Linked DNA regions of Danio rerio. The protein of the gene in region 2 purifies or fractionates together with the protein of the main gene of each other region. This does not show direct contact. Links are inferred from orthologs where the notes say so. Each region holds a gene or a part of one and is shown on either strand. Other genes may lie near its edges.

Region 1 (8,402 bases), on a different chromosome or scaffold from region 2:
AAATATATAAATATAAATATATATATTTATATTTATTTATTTATTTATTTATATATATATATATATATATATATATATATATATATATATATATATATATATATATATATATATATATATATATATATATATATATATATATATATATGGATGGATGGATTTCATGTCTCACCTGTAGATGCTCCTCGATGTCCTTGCGGTCGTAGGTGATGCCGCTGGGAGTAATGCAGGGTTCCCTCATCAGCTCGAAGCTGATCTTCCCACACAGGTAATCGGGGATCTCGCGTTTCTGCACCACCACCCAAACACACAGACAACATTACAAGGAGCAGGATTTGGGCCAGTGATATTTCAGAGTCAGTGCAGCGATCAGAAAATCCCTTCATACCTTCCTCTTTTCATCTACTTGAGAGAAAAGCTCATCCATGTCCATCAGATACTTATCCTGCAGGGACGAGCACAGGAAATGACATCACTTCATCAATCATACACCGATTATATGCAGGGAATAATCGACAATATGCCTGTAATTATTAGAATAACCTGCATCCACTGACTTCCATAGTATTTCTTTTCCTATTATGGCAGTCAATAGATACAGGTTTACAGCTGTTTTAGGATCATCTTCAAAGCTCATCGGCCAATCAGAATCGAGCATTGTGCTGTACTGTGGTATGAGATGTGTTTATGTGGACGTCTCACATGCTTGGACTTCATCTTGCTAATGTCTCCTCCATTCTGACTGTCATCTGACTGCTTCACTCGGTCGTCCAGCTCTCTGAACACACACACACACAAACAGAAGCATGAGCACACTGACAGATACTCACACACACACGCACATGCACGCACTTAAACTCACACAAACAAACAAAAACACAAACGTACAAGAGAGACATAAACACAGAAAAGCACACACACAAAAGCACTCACACACACACACACACACACACACACACACACACACACACAAACAAACACAAACACACAGAAACAGGAAAGCAAACACACATGCAAGCAAACACGCACACAAATAAACACAAACTCACAAACACATGTACAAAAAACGCAAACACACACAACCAAACACAAATGCACATACAGAGAAAAACAAACACAAATGTGTACACACACACACACACACACACACACACACAAGCAAACACACACACAAAAAGACACACACAAAAACACAAACACACAAAAGCCACACAAGAAAACACACACAAGCAAACACACAAACACACACACACACATAAAGCCACGCACAAAAAACACACACAGCCCCACAAGTAAACAAAGACACACAGACACACACACTGATACAAATAAACACAAACTCACACAAACACACATACAAAAAAAAATCACAAACACACACACACACAAATGCACACACAGACAAACACACACACACAAACAAACACACAAAGACACACACACACACACACACACACACAAAGCCACGCACAAAAAACACACAAGCAAACAAACAGACACATAGACACACAAGCAAACTCACACACAGAAGCCCACATGGACACAAATAAACAAACACACATACAAAAAAAAACACAAACACACACACACAAACACAAATGCACACACAAACACACACACACAAACACAAATGCACACACAAACACACACACACAAACACAAATGCACACACTTAAACTCACACAAACAAACAAAAACAAAAAGCACACACAAAACACACAAGACAGACACACAAACAAATGCACACATGAACAAACAAAGACACACACACAAGCAAACACACACACAGAAACACAGGCAAGCAAACACGCACACAAATAAAGAAACTCACACAGACACACATACAAAAAAAACACATATGCACACACAAACACACACACACCTCTCCTTCTCGGCCAGGATGAGTTTGCTGAGATAGGCGTGCAGCTCGTTCTCTTGGCTGATCCGCTTCTCCTCTATGCTGTTCCAGCGTTTCTTCTTGGCGATGCGAAGAGCACTTGGGATGTCGTCTCCAAAATTGAGCCTCTGTTCCTTCGCCAGGTTATAGGCTGGAAATGATTCAAAGAGCAATTTAATCACAGACATTGTATGATGTCTAGACATTCTGTAGGGCATTTTAGAGATTTTGTGCCAATAATGTTTACTTATTTTATATACTATTAATGACTAATATATTGACCAAAAGAAAATCAACATTATTAGAGAATAGATTAATTTAATGAAAGAACTTTCACCCAAAAATTACAGTTCTGTCATCATTTACTCACCCTTTACTTGTTCAAAACATGTCAGAGTTTCTTTTTTCTGTACAGAAAGGAAGATTTTTTAAAGAAGGCTGGAACCCTGGAACCATTTGACTTCAATTAGTTTTGTTTTCTACTATGGAAGTCAATGGTTACAGGTTTGCAACATTTTTCAAAATATCTTCTTTAGTGTTCAACAGAATAAAAAAACTCCTGAAGTTTAAATTTTGGGGTGAACTATCCCATTAAATGAAGATAATTTGAAGAAAGCTGAAGAGCACTGACTTTCATATTAAAAAACAAGTTCTATGGAAGTCAATGGTTACAGGTTTTCAACATTTTTCAAAATATCTCCTTTTGTGTTCCATAAAATAAAGAATTTCATAAAGCTTTAAAAGATTGAAAAAAGGGTGAGCAGTGCTTCATTTGTGAATTGCGAGGTCCCAGAACAGATCGGGGTAACAGATCCGTCATGTTACCTCAGGATGTAGAGGTGCCACACACAAAAGTTTGGCACAGACTAAATTGAAGGAGGGGGTGGGTAAGATGGCGGGGCGTTGGATGGTGGAGGGGGGGGGGGTGTGTTTAAGATAGCGGGGCGTTGGATGGCAGAGGGGTGTCGCTGACGAAAGTGGAGAGGGTTGAGGAGTCGCGAAAGAAAGTGAAAGTGAACAGCGGATGAGGGCGGTTGAGGAGGGGGATCAGTAAAATGAGGTGCCAGATCAGATTTCAGAGGTATCCGGAATGTTTACTTTAAGCTAAATATTAGTATTTTTAACAATATCTAGTCAAATATTATTTGCTGTCATCATGACAAAGATGAAATAAATCAGTTATTAGAAATGAGTTATTAAAACTATTATGATTAGAAATGCGTGTATAATCCGCTCAGTGTGTACCTCTTTGTAAGTTGCCGATGGCTTCTTCGTAATTCTCCAGCTCCAGCTGACATTGGCCCAGAAAAAAGTGCGCCTTCACCGATTGGCTGTCGAGCTCGAGGGCGTGTTTACAGTCGGCCAGTGCCTTGTCGTACTGCTGTAGCTTGACGTAGCATAGCGCTCTGTTAGTGTAGTACACGGCCACTGATGGGTTACGATTCTACACAAACAAGCAGAGACACGTTTAATACAACACACAAGATCATACAGAACAACTCATGAGCAACTCCAGCATTATGGATGTGACATCTGGAGTACAAACTTGAAACTGAAAATTCACAGAGAATGTTTATGTTAATATTAAATCGAAATAGCAGTTAATATTTGTGACTAAACACAGAGTTAATCATAAAATATTAATCTGTAAGTGTGTTTTATACTTTAAATGAGAGAAACAAACATGCGTTATGGATGTGACCAAAACATTATGTGGATTTATAGCTTTTTAAATGTAATATATAAGTGCAGTATGTAAGTTTGACACCCAGTGGTGAAACTAGGTATTGCACCCCTTGATCAAAACAAACGCAAGCACAGGTTGCCAGATTGTACAGAAACCCGGAAGGGACGTAGTTGAGGAGAAAAAATTGGCTGGGAGAAAAAAATAATGGGTGAAAAAAAAATATGGTTGGGAGGAAAATATATATTTCTACGTTTTTGCGTTCCCTCGCGAAGATGTTTTGCGTTCTCTCGCAAAACTGTTTCTCCACAAACACTTCCTGTTCACTTCACTCACGTAAACCCACCCGTTTTAGCTGAAATTCTCCCATATTTTACCATTCTATCCCAATTTCTTTAATATGCAATATATATGCAACCTCTGAAGCAGTGAAAGCATGTATAAGCGCTGACTGACAGACGCGCTCCGTACAATAAACTGATCCCAGCTCAGCGTCTGTACACGCCATTTAAAGTGACACCTGTTATCAAACAAGTGAGCAGCAAATGAATCTCATGTTTTGTTTTGTTTGATAACAGAGGTGTCTCTGTAAGAATGCACAGATCAATAATGAAGCATTCCATTACTTTAGAAACTGTTTACGCTCATTTAAGAGAAAATAAGCTTTAGTTTTAAAATAAAACATGCAGGACGGAGATGTTTACATATTATTGAGTGTATTTGTCTGTTTAAACATACACCCGCTCCTCTGTAAATGGCGTATACAGAAGTATACATATTAAACATTATTATTAAACAGCACTAAATATTTGATGTTTTTATACAATAATTAACTTCTGAATTTATTTACAGTTGAGGGCAGATTTCTTCACCCTCTGGTGAATTATTTTTCCTTTTTTAATTATTTGCCAATGATGTTGAACAGATTCAGGAATTTTTCACAGTATTTTATTTGTTTTATTTTGGCTAGAATAAAAGCATTTAATAATTGTTTTAAACCATTTAATAGTCAATATTATTAGCCCCCCTATGCAATGTTAGTTTGGATTGTCTCCAGAACAAACCACTGTTATATTATGACTTGCCTAATGACCCTAACTTCACCCTAATTAACCTAGTAAAGCCTTTAAATGTCACTTTAAGCTGAATACTAGTGTCTTCAAGAATATCTAGTCTAATATTATGTGCTGTCATCATGGCAAAGAGAAAATAAATCAGTTATTAGAAAGGAGTTATTATAAATATTATGTTTAGAAATGTGTCCTTTAAACAGAAATTGGGGAAAAACTATTTACCAGAAGGTTTAATAATTCTGAACTTTCTGTGAGTCTGAATTTCTCCTAAACCCCCCGCTGTTGAAACTGACACACATATTTACTCTGTGTGTTCCCAGCACCCCTCACTCACGATGGCTTTGCTGTAGCAGGTGACGGCCTCCTGGTACTTGCGGCTGAGGAACAGGCGGTTTCCCTGCTCCTTCAGCTCCTGTGCGGATGAGCTTTTCTCTGGGCTGCTCGCCATCTTCTCCATGGGCTCTGCGGTGGCCGCTCCCCCCTGCTTCCCAATCCTGTTCCCCGTCTCTTCGGTGAGCACCGGCCGGTCCCGGGGAGCCAGTTACCTGCAAACCTCTCAGAAACACACAAGGAAAATATGAGCCACAGTAATGCAGGTGCAAAATCATAACAATATTCTTATGGGGTCAATTTTATTAGCCACCATAAGAATATACATTCAAAACAGTTTGTTAGAAACAATGATATGCTTTGCGTGTTTGTTTTTATGTTTATATAAGTGCTATTTTCATTTATAGCTCTTGATTTTTGCATTGATTTTTAATATCTCTTGTTTAAATACACTATGAACAGCAGCTACGCTAATTATTTTCTTTATTTTCTATTTCCACCTGGGGATACTCATCCCGAGGCCTCTAGAGATTGTGCAGCGCCATTGATGTGATCCAAGACCTGTGAAGAAATGATGCCAACCGCAGAGCACTTCTAGAGGTCTCCATAATCCTGGACCAGGCCGTATCCTGAGCAGATATCAGGGCCGGAGTGGGACTCATTTTCAGCCCTGGAGTTTCAAGCCAGACCAGCCCACCTCGACTGATTACATTAAAATAAGGTCATTTCCAATTCAGTTTCTAATGACACTATCACATCTTTTTTGAGAAAACAGCTGCTTTAGAAATTCAAATGTTCAACAACCCTTACAGTATTATGTCATAAAAACGAAAAATAATAATAATAATTTTTCAGGTGAGATTCGAACATGGGTCGGAAGTTTCGCAACGCAACGTGCTTTCCACTGGACCACAATGGCGCTATTCCAGTGGGAATAAAAAATAAAGATTACACTGTGAACGGCAAGACATAGTATTACTTTGATGGCTAAATCATTTTCTCCTTTTAGATTTCTGATCAAGTTTTGTCAGATTTAATGTAGTAAATCATCTGATTTTCATTGAGCAGGTGTATTATTCATTAATATTAATTATTCAAATTCTTATAATCACTAAGGTGCCACTGTTTGGGGTCGAATGATTAGTTACATCATCATTAACGTTAGTAAACCTGCAGGCTGCATTTTGCTCACGGAGCAGCAAGAAAAAAAATAAATAAAAAGAGCGGCGCTGCGGCAAAATAATGAAAAACAAAAAAAAAGAGTGAGGCTATGGTCAAATTAATAAATAAATAAATGAAAAAAGTGTGACTGCTGAGAGTGCAAGCAGCTAGGGACACTGGCCCTCACGGCCAAAAAACGGACCGACCCACCAGGAATTCTCTCGGTTCGCCAATCCGGGCCTGGCAGATATTGTGGTTGTCATGGAGGAGCTGAGAGCATAAGACTGATGCCTGAATCACCCCAGTGACAAACAAGTCCTCACATTTATCAAGTGGGCCAGCCTGAACACACGCCGGTGACCTACTCACACTTGCATCTTCTCCACGATGGACATCCAGCGTTCTCCAGCCTCCGGCGCCTAGACTGCTTTTCTGCAGTTTGGTCAGAGGAGAAATGGTCGTGCCCAACAGAGCCGGTTTCTCTCCAGGTTTTTTCCTTCACTTCAATCACGTCAATTGGTGAAGATTGTTCCTTCGCTGTTGCCACTGGCTTGCTTGGTTTGGGAATTGTGGAGCTGCGCATCGATGGATTTGCTCTTCAGTGTTTGAACTCTCAGTATTGAATATTAAACCACACTGAACTAATCTAAACTGAACTCCAACTCTGAAAACTGGACTGACAGTTTACACTATCACTATATCACTATAATCTTCTATGTTAAGCTGCTTTAACACAATCTGCATTGTAAAAGCGCTACAGAAATCAAGATATTTTTCAATTAGCTACAGAACAAACCATCATTATACAATGACTTGCCTAGTTAACATAATTAAGCCTTTAAATGCTGAATACAAGTATCTTGCAAAAACTTGCACGACCCTCAATTGGTACTAATGGACCCAAAGTGTGCTAAAAAAATCTCCCCCACACCAATACACCACCACCACCAGCTTAAACCGCTGACACAAGGAAGGATGGATTCATGCTTTTATGCTGTTGACGTCAAATTCTGACCCGAGCATCTGAATGTGTCAGCAGAAATGGAGACTCATCAGAGCAGGCAACGTTTCTCCAATCTTCTATTGTCCAGTTTTGGTGAGTCTGTGTGAATTGTAGCCTCAGTTTCCTGTTCTTAGCTGACAGGAGCGGCACCCGGTGTGCTCTTCTGCTGCTGTAGCCCATCCGCCTCAAGGTTGGACGTGTTGTGTGTTCAGAGATGCTCTTCTGCAGACCTTGGTTGTAACGAGTGCTTATTTGAGTTTCTGTTGCCTTTCTATCAGCTGGAACCAGTCTGGCCATTCTCCTCTGACCTCTGGCATCAACAAGGCATTTGTGCTCACAGAACTGCCGCTCACTGGATATTTCCACTTTGTCGGAGAATTCTCTGTAAACCCTAGAAATGGTTGTGCGTGAAAATCCCAGTAGATCAGCAGTTTCTGAAATACTTAGACCAGCATGTCTGTTATCAACATCCATGCCACGTTCAAAGTCACTCAAATCCCCTTACTTCCTCATTCTGATGCTCGGTTTGACCTGCAGCAGATCGTCTTGACCATGTCTACATGCCTAAATGCATTAAGCTCCTGTCGGTGAGTGTATACTCTACATTTTTCTGATTTTGATTGAAATGTATTAACGTGCACCTTTTGTAGAGCTGCTGTTCATATAGTAGAAATGATTAAAATGAATTGTTTAATGTACATCACACACACACACACACACATCTGGACAACAGTAACACACATCTGGACACTGACAGTTGTGTGAAATCATTCATGACTCTTTATGCAGCTCTGTGAACTTAAAACACACACAATCCAACAGTTAATCACTAAAATTAAGCACTACCAACGAGTAAATGTAATTTCACGTCGATCAGAAATTAAACTCCTGTGCCTGACACATAAGCACATTCACACACACTTTACAAGCTAACAACCAGGTCAGCGCTGAGAATAAACACGCTTAGAGATTAAATCAGATGGTTTGAATATGAAATATGGATTATTTGAGGCGTACCGGGTTTGACTGCTGGACTGACGCCTGTCGTTAGCAAACCGGTAGCGACACTGGTGCTTTGATGATCACTTTTGGATCCCTGATAGCGAATGAAACGCGGCCAAACTCATATTCCGACTCGATCATGACATTAAGATGACAAATGTCCGACGTTTTCATCGGCGATCCTCAAAAACACGACATTTTACCCGCGGGTGTGAGACGCTAGCATCATGTTTCGGTTGTTTTGACTCTGCC
Region 2 (8,402 bases):
CATGTTAAATACATAGTAATGCACTACAAAAAAATTTAAACACTTTTCATCAAACCATAATTTCCAAATTCCCCATATGCTCCATAAACACACATGCACACGCAATACAAATAATTTGAAGGATATTAATGTTTTAATATGGATTACAGATACATATTTAATCTGCTTTTCATTTGCTGATTGAAATGTCAACAGATTCTTGACATAACTGTTGCCATTCAAAGCTGGTTTTGTCATTTATTTAGACATAACCTAAGAAAAAAAAAGATTGTATGGATAAATTTATTTGGAACACATTTTAATGAAGCTACTATTAACAAATATGACACAAACACAATCATATTATCAGTTATGGATGCTTAATTATATGAAGCTATATATTAGCTTACAGGCTGTTATTGTGTCCTATATAGTCACCTGCTCCAGAGCCTGGGACTGAGGAATCAATAAAATGGCCAGGAAGCTGTGTGAGGGTAGATGGACACTTTTATCACAATCTTGGGTGAAACACTGCTACTGTAGAGTAGACTAAGATGTCTCATTAAGTTCATTATGGACAAGTGTGTCAGCGAGTGAAGACCAGCAATAAGGGATGAGCAGTCACACCTCACAGAGGCATATTTTTTCCAAAATAAGTGTCAGCAACAGAGGCTGGATTCATGGCTGCTGTGATGAGTCTTAATTAACAGCAGCCATGGCTCACAGCTGTGCTCTGCTATCATGCCCATCCAACTAAGTGACATGCTGGTTCTGCCGGACACTGAACAGCGAAAGGCTGGCCAGGGATAATTTGAAGGTAACACACAATACAGTATACTACAATTTTTTGTACACAATAACAGTGTTTTGCTTTAAGAATTCTCTTTCTTGTTTAAAGATTTGTTTAGCGTTTAAGGTAGAATGGTATGGACAATAGGCAGAAAGTAAAGTGGGCAAGAGGCTGACAGAATCGGGAAAAGCCCCAGTCACTGATGATAAAGCATAATGACACTACACATTGGAGAGCTGTCCATGAAAGTTTCACTTATGAAATTGTATTTTTTTTTTCATTTTAAATTTTTTAATTTGGGTGGCCTGGTGGCGCAGTTGGCAGCGATGTCGCCTAACATCAAGAAGGTCGCTGGATCGAGCCTCGGTTGGGTCATTTGGCATTTCAGTGTGGAGTTTGCATGTTCTCCCTGTGTTTGTGTGGGTTTTCTTCGGGTGCTCCAGTTTTCCACACAGTCTAAAGACATGCACTAAAGGTGAATTGGGTAAACTAAATTGTAGTGTATGTGTGTTTCCCAGTGATGGGTTGCAGCTGAAAGTGCATCCACTGTTTGAAACATATGCTGGATAAGTTGGCGGTTCATTCCGCTGTGGCGACCCCAGATTAATAAAGAGACTAAGCTGGAAAAAAGTGAATTAATTAAGTGAGTGAATTTTAATTTATATCTGAACAAACAAAGAAAGATGGTTGATTTACAATGCTATTATGTGTGCTATTTTTATTTTTTAAAATGTGTGTAGTAGTTCTTTATTTATTCAATGACTTTTTAAGCTATAGTAGATTCAGGATTCCTACCCGAGACCAGTTTCCTGACTTTTCCCTGACTTTCACTAACTAAAAAAGATGAATTTCCATGACCAATAATGAACAGAAAAACAGACAGCTGTTGTTTTGAGCAGGTAAACAGGTAAAGCCTGGTGACTGCATTTGACTTAAGTGTTTGCTGGTTGACAAGTGGGGAAAAAAAATGACACTGAAAAATAGACTAATAGGCAAGACATGAAACAACATTAAAAAAAATGCAAAAATTTTTTTATAAATGGAAAGTAAAATTTAAATGTTTAAAAAAACTGATATTCCATGATATTCAACAACAACAAAATATTTAAATTCACTAACTTTCAATGTCTAGAATAGACCTTTTAAAATTATATGATATTGCAGAATTTCCATGAGCTGTGGGAACCCTGAACATTACACACTGCATAATGCATAATAGGTAATATGCATAAAGCACAATGAGGCATTTTTTTTGAAGTGCTAAAACACCAGCTCAATGTCCTTGTGCTCCTAACAACAGTATGTCCATACTCACCCTGCCCTGTCTCCACTCCTGCTGCTACTGGGTCCAACCCCTCCACCATTATTGATGGTGAACATTCGCTCAGAGTGTTCAGAGGTGCTGCTGCCATCAGAATGCACATCGCTGCACGCCACATTTCCATGGTCACATACAGAGACAAAGAAAGAAAAAGTGAAAATAGCCTGTAATCAAAGTAAGGGCTTATCAACAATGTCATTTATGCAAGAAGAAAAAACATTGACTTTCATTTCAAATGAAATGAAAACTGGTTTAAACCATTCTTAATTCAAAGGTGTCATCCACTGGCATTAATTAACTGCACAGAGATGAATAAAGCAAGTCTTCAATGGAGAATAAAAGGGAAAATGTGTTTACCTGATTTAACAAACAAGTAATAAAAACCAAATCAGACAAACATAGCTTGAGTCAGAGCACAAAGTAAAAAGAATTCATTAGAATTTTCTCAGAAATAAAAAATACCCCCTGTCACTAATGATTGTGCTCCGACTTTAGGAACCCCTCGTTTTGCTTTGTTGGGTTTAAATAGAGATAAAATCTTCAGCAAACACAGTACGAGAACAAAGAGCTTAAACAATGGCAGCTAAAAAAGAAAAAGCTCCCTCTTCCTCGGCTGTGTCAGAGCTATAGTCCGTTGACTGCTCATTTGCCTAGCTCAAAGTAACTCGCCATGCTCCCCATGGACTCCCACAATGCATCTACGCGCCTCATTAGCATAGCACTGACAGTCCCGTAGTTGCAGAGGCTGACATCCACTTCATCCAACCATCCCGCGCACCTGTCTCCAACCAAGAGTTCCCTGAGATGTTGCCTCCCAATGGGCCTGTCCAGCTCTAGTTCTTGCCCCTTTTTCCCTTCTACTGCTCTCTCTGTCCATTTGTCTCTCTCTTTTTTCTCTGAGAGAGCCTAACTAAGAAAGAGCAAAACATCTCCTGTTTAAAAACACCTGTAAGCAAAGCGCTGATGAGTGATGCGTATTATAGAGCTAAAGTAATTAATTTCTCAGAATCACCACTGTTTTGAGCTGATGGCGGAGGACAAGCTGTGTAGGCCTGTTTGTGGCATTCATGAATATCATGTCAATATTTGTGCACTTTAAAAATTGATCCTTTATTTTCCAACACATCATAATGAGTGGATGTTCCCCAGCATGAGAGTAGGCTGATATCTGGAACCACTGGAGGCTAATTACCAGTTTCAGTTGGATCGATCCCTCTCCCTTCAGTGTCCATCAAAAGCTGTAGAATAACAGCCTTATGGGTGCTGACAGAGAGAAAGCGGTGTGTGGTCCTGCCTGCTTTCAGTGAAAGGTAAAGCCAATTTTCCAAACCTCTGGTACATTAGCGTACAGGGAATGAAACAAAGCAGGACATATTTTAAGATTGAGAATCAAATCAAAAGACTTATAAAGAGTAGGACTAAACTTTATTTAAATTATGGCAATGCCTAATACTGTATCTCTGACCTGTGTGAAAAACTGGTGAGTCCAATATACAGTAAGGAGGTTGAGTCTGAATCAAGACTAAGCTCATGTGGTTCCAGATTGATAACAAGAGACCAAGACCATGAATATATGCTCTTGGACACTATAAAGTCAAAGGACTTGGTCTTGTAATGGATCTCAGAGAATGACTCAGTTTGTTGTTCAAACTCATACGAATTTAATGCAACCATGCCGAGTGTTGACTAAAATACTGAACAAATGAGCGTGCATTATACTGTTCATTGGACTGGACTGCTCATCCATCTGAAATCAAATGATGTGCAAATAATAATGGGTGTTAGTTGTGTGTTATTGCCAGCCCTGATGTTTCCAGCCTCATGTCTTCTAAAAATGTAACATGCTTAAATATTAAAAATCCAAAATCAAACAAAAAGTGCTTCAGGGGTAGTTAAGGTGTACTCTTTGAGTAAGGGATTCATAAGGATAAACATTTAAATCATAAGTCCAAGGTACTCAAAAAGTAAGTGACATTTAAAAAAAAATAAAATAAAAAAAATAAAAAAAACTTAATTAACATGGCTAATCTACACTCACCGGACACTTTATTAGGTACACCTGTCCAACTGCTCGATGTGGTGGAACGGGAGATTCGGATCATGGATGTGTAGCTGACGAATGTGCTGCAACTGCGAGATGCTATCATGTCAATATGGACCAAAATCTCTGAGGAATTTTCCAATACCCTGTTGAATCTATGCCACGAAGAATTTCAGTTTTGATGGCAAAGGTGGGTCCAACCTGATAGTTGTAAGGTATATCTAATAAAGTGGCCGGTGAGGTTATAAAACAGCACCTACTAAAAAAATCACTTTTTGAGTGCCTTGGATTTTTATTTTCGTTGTTTATCTTTATACTAAATTATTATTTGCATTCAGCCAGAAGCCAAAAATGACAGACATTTTAGGAAAATTCACTGGAATAGGATAGAAATAAAGAACTGGGCATGAGATAACAACAGCAATTGCACAAACAGGTATGCTAACAAAATGTTGGAATCACAGCAATTACAAAATTCCAACCTGTAACAAGCCTATATTGAAATATATTGCAATGTTATATTTTTCCTTATATCGTGCTGTCTTAATGTGAGCTTCATTTAATAATCATGGTAAATTATGACAAGGTGTGACTGCAGCATAAAGCATTTTTTGTTTTATTGTGACAACAGATATAATAAAACAACAAACCATACAAACAAAACATTTGCCATTATTTGGTAGATTACAGTGTAAAAGCCTTAAAACTTTGTATTATGAATGAAGCCGCTGGCCTTTTTGTGTCCAAGCCACAAAATGTTATATTTTCTTAGTGCTGGACACCAGACCAGTTCATAAACTAAAATAAGGCTGTGAATTTTCTGCTTTCTCCAATTAGCAAACTGTTTGCATTAATGAAGTGAGAGCATGTTTACATTGGAGAGACAATGTTTGTGTTGCAACGTGGTCTTTTTGTATCCACGGTAACCTTGATGATAATTATGACAAACTTGCAGAAAAGCAACATCCACAGCCAAGCTGCAAATTATACAACCAAAATACAGCAGAGGGAAATGATCCTTGAAGTGAATTAATTAGTGTCTATTTCGCTAACAAACACCAAACGCTAGTAGGGAAACTTCTTTTAAAACTGCTGAAGAACTGACAAAACCGAGAAAGTATTTGAAATGTATGATGTTCATTTACATAAACATTAAACAGTGCTGTTCTCACCCAGAAAACAAAAACAGATGGGCATATCAGCGCAAAGACTGACTGAGTTCAACAATTCAGAACAACCAAATGCTTTAACACACAGACTGAATATATAACAGCAGCTTGTTTTTATCATGGTTACCGCCATTAACGATCACTTCTCATTTATTGTTGATCAACCCACAGATGAATAAAGTGCTCATTATGTTTGGCAAGCAATTATTTTGCAGAGTCAAGCTGAGTTTTTTAACCTTGCTTTATAAAACACATGACGGCAGCATTTTGGAGTCTTTAATGAGAGAAAACTACAAGAAAAAGTGATTTATGACCCTCAAGAAGGGCTGAGAGAGCTATGAAGGGATGATAGGAGACTCACACAGGTCTGCAGATGACAAGATCTCCTTTGTTGGTCCCATAAGCGAGCCCAAGCCCCGGATCTGGCAGCCAGCGGGCAGAGTTTATACTGACGTGTCTCCTCTGGTCTGGTGCCATTGGGTACACCACATCAAACACCCTCTGAAAAACACGTAAACACACACACACCTGTTTAAAACATCCCACAACACTCTCAGCAATAGTTCTTTTCAGTGGTCAGGTTCTTTCATTATCCTCTGCACTGTAGATTGCAGTCTGTGTCAGATATGACAGCGCTGCTAGCATAACTGAGAAGAGGCTAAACTGCGAAAAGTCAAATCTCATTCTCCAAAGTACTCTTTCCCTTTCTTTTCCAATCCATTCCCCTGTCCCCTGTCTGTCAGCCTTGGCATAATACTTACACTCCACTGGCTCCAGAAAAAAAAGGACAAAAATAGGACATGCTCATGTCTGCCAGAGAGAGAGAAAGCGGTCTCATTCATCTGCAGATGAGTGATCAACAGACAAACTCTTTCTCTCCTTCTTTACTCTAGACAGAGGAAATTCAGGACAAGGATAAAAGCCGCAAAGACTGGTGTTTCTCAGGGAAGAGAGCATGTATGACTGATGCACGTATTTGTGTGTGTATCTGCACCACAGCACCTGAACAGAGTGAGTGTGTGCACATATGGACCTATGCTGCAGGGACGTTGTGCAGCTTCACTCTCAAACACACAGTATAGGGCTCTTCTGAGAGGGGATTTATGTGCAGCACAGATTTTTGGTGCACAAACTACGGCTGCACGATATTGAAAAAAATCATATATTGGGATGTCTAACAGTTAATGGGTACAAAAATGAAACAATCACAATGCACAAAATACTGTTCTTTCTTTGCTTTGTCCCTTTTTCTAGTCCAATTATCTAAAAATTCTTAGATCAAGTGAAAATATAATTTTTTTTTTTAATTCCAGAAGAAAGTAATAGTTTTTTTCCCTTAAAACAAGCTAAATTATCTGCCAATTTGTTAAGTAAAATAATCTTGTTTTCGCCTTGAAATATAGAGGTTTAGACTAGAAACAAGACAAAAATTCTTAGTAAGAAAAAAACTTTTTCAATTCTTTTATAAAGAAAAAAATTATAAACAATTTATAAATAAATCATTAAAATAATTAATCAAATATATTATTAAATAAAACAAATCTTTGTTACACCTCTGCAGAATCTAACTAGGCATCTGAGAAACCTTATGGCAAATTTATGTGTGTTGTTTAAAAAAAAAACACACAATTCATTTGTGTTGTGTTTTACTTTGATTGGTTTTTAATCATTTTGATTCATTAAATTATTTTATTTAATCCTCTGATCAATAGTTATTTATATAACTATCATAATATCATTTTATTGATTATTAGATAATGATTATTATTTGTCATTTTATTAGGCTTTTATATATTATATTTTATTATCATTCTCCTATAATTATTGCTTTTTATTATTTCATTTTTCCATTTTGTTATAATCTTATAATTCAAGAGTGGATTCAAGTGACACTTGATTTCATGAGTAAGAGATGAGTGTCTCCATTTCAAGGTCTGTATTGCCACTGGACAATGTCATAATTTTTGTGCTCAAATGTTCTAAGCTTTCTTGAAAGGCTCAGTCACAGGCCTTAAAAACAGTACACATGCAAACTCTACAAATTACGTGTTTTGTGGCTCACTCTCAATTATATTTCAGACTTAACATTACATATCTTGCGATGTGACTATTGCAGATGAGCACACTGCGATATTGATGCTGAACTGATATATTGTGCAGTCCTAACACAGACTAATTAATATGAGTCTGATTCAGTTCCTAAAATGAAAGGCAAAAATCATATTGTGAACACTAAAACTACACAACTATGAATAACATTTTTATATGAATAAAAAGATCAAAACATAATTTATTTGAAATTGAAATATTTTGTAACATTATAATTGTCTTTACTGTCAGACTTTCAATTTAATGCATGATTAAATGCATAAAGAGGAATGCAAGTGCACACTCATTCAGTTCATAAATGCCACAGTGCTCAAAAACAAAATAATTAACAGCAAATTCCCCATCTAAAAACATCCTAATTTGAAACTACGCATCTATAAAAGAACATTGGCAGGTAAGCGGCGTGATGAGTATTTTGCAACAGCTTGAAAATGAAAAATCACTACTACATTAAAAAATGTATGTGTAGAAAAAGTTGTTCACAGCAAAGCTGAAGATAGAGCCTCGGGCTAACCTTTGTTCATTTTCTCTCTCTCTCCACTCTCCGGAGTATAATTAATCCTGGTAATAAGCAGACACATTAACGATGCTGATGTATTAAATTCATTCATTAACTGCCATATGAGAAAATATCACTTCATATAAACAAACAGAAAGATCTCCTTTAATAAATAAAGACATGGGAGGAAACAGAACATAATCAAATTATAGAATATAAAATGATAGAAATGAACAAATAAACATAGCATGAGAGAGAAATGTCTCAATAAACAAACGGCCATAAAAGCAGAAAGCACAGATAACGAAACGTACCCAAAGGTGCTGTTGCTATGGCTACTGCTGAAATCAGGCGCCCAGTGGGGACGGTGTTATGGCAAATAATGTATGGACTGTTTAAAATGCATTCAGCACCTGTCCGCCATGTTCCCATTATTATTAAGTGTACTGGGCCAGGTCTTTAACATTTACCCTTTGCTTACGCACACATGCATG

Evidence for each region. The genes of interacting proteins can lie anywhere in the genome.
Region 1: the proteins of ambra1a (region 2) and stub1 purify together in Homo sapiens (affinity purification with mass spectrometry, with the first as the bait; 3 studies listed by BioGRID). This does not show direct contact. The link is inferred for Danio rerio from reciprocal best matches to the Homo sapiens genes AMBRA1 and STUB1.

Annotation. Positions count from the first base shown.
Region 1 is NC_133199.1:43,373,323-43,381,724, reverse strand, and holds part of stub1 (E3 ubiquitin-protein ligase CHIP), read right to left. Parts: 5' UTR 8,166-8,402; intron 5,210-8,165; 5' UTR 5,112-5,209; coding exon 4,989-5,111; intron 3,342-4,988; coding exon 3,143-3,341; intron 2,049-3,142; coding exon 1,883-2,048; intron 779-1,882; coding exon 703-778; intron 446-702; coding exon 389-445; intron 290-388; coding exon 173-289; intron 1-172. UniProt on the Homo sapiens protein: E3 ubiquitin-protein ligase which targets misfolded chaperone substrates towards proteasomal degradation.
Region 2 is NC_133182.1:39,498,808-39,507,209, forward strand, and holds part of ambra1a (activating molecule in BECN1-regulated autophagy protein 1A), read right to left. Parts: intron 5,802-8,402; coding exon 5,662-5,801; intron 2,196-5,661; coding exon 2,085-2,195; intron 1-2,084. UniProt on the Homo sapiens protein: Substrate-recognition component of a DCX (DDB1-CUL4-X-box) E3 ubiquitin-protein ligase complex involved in cell cycle control and autophagy.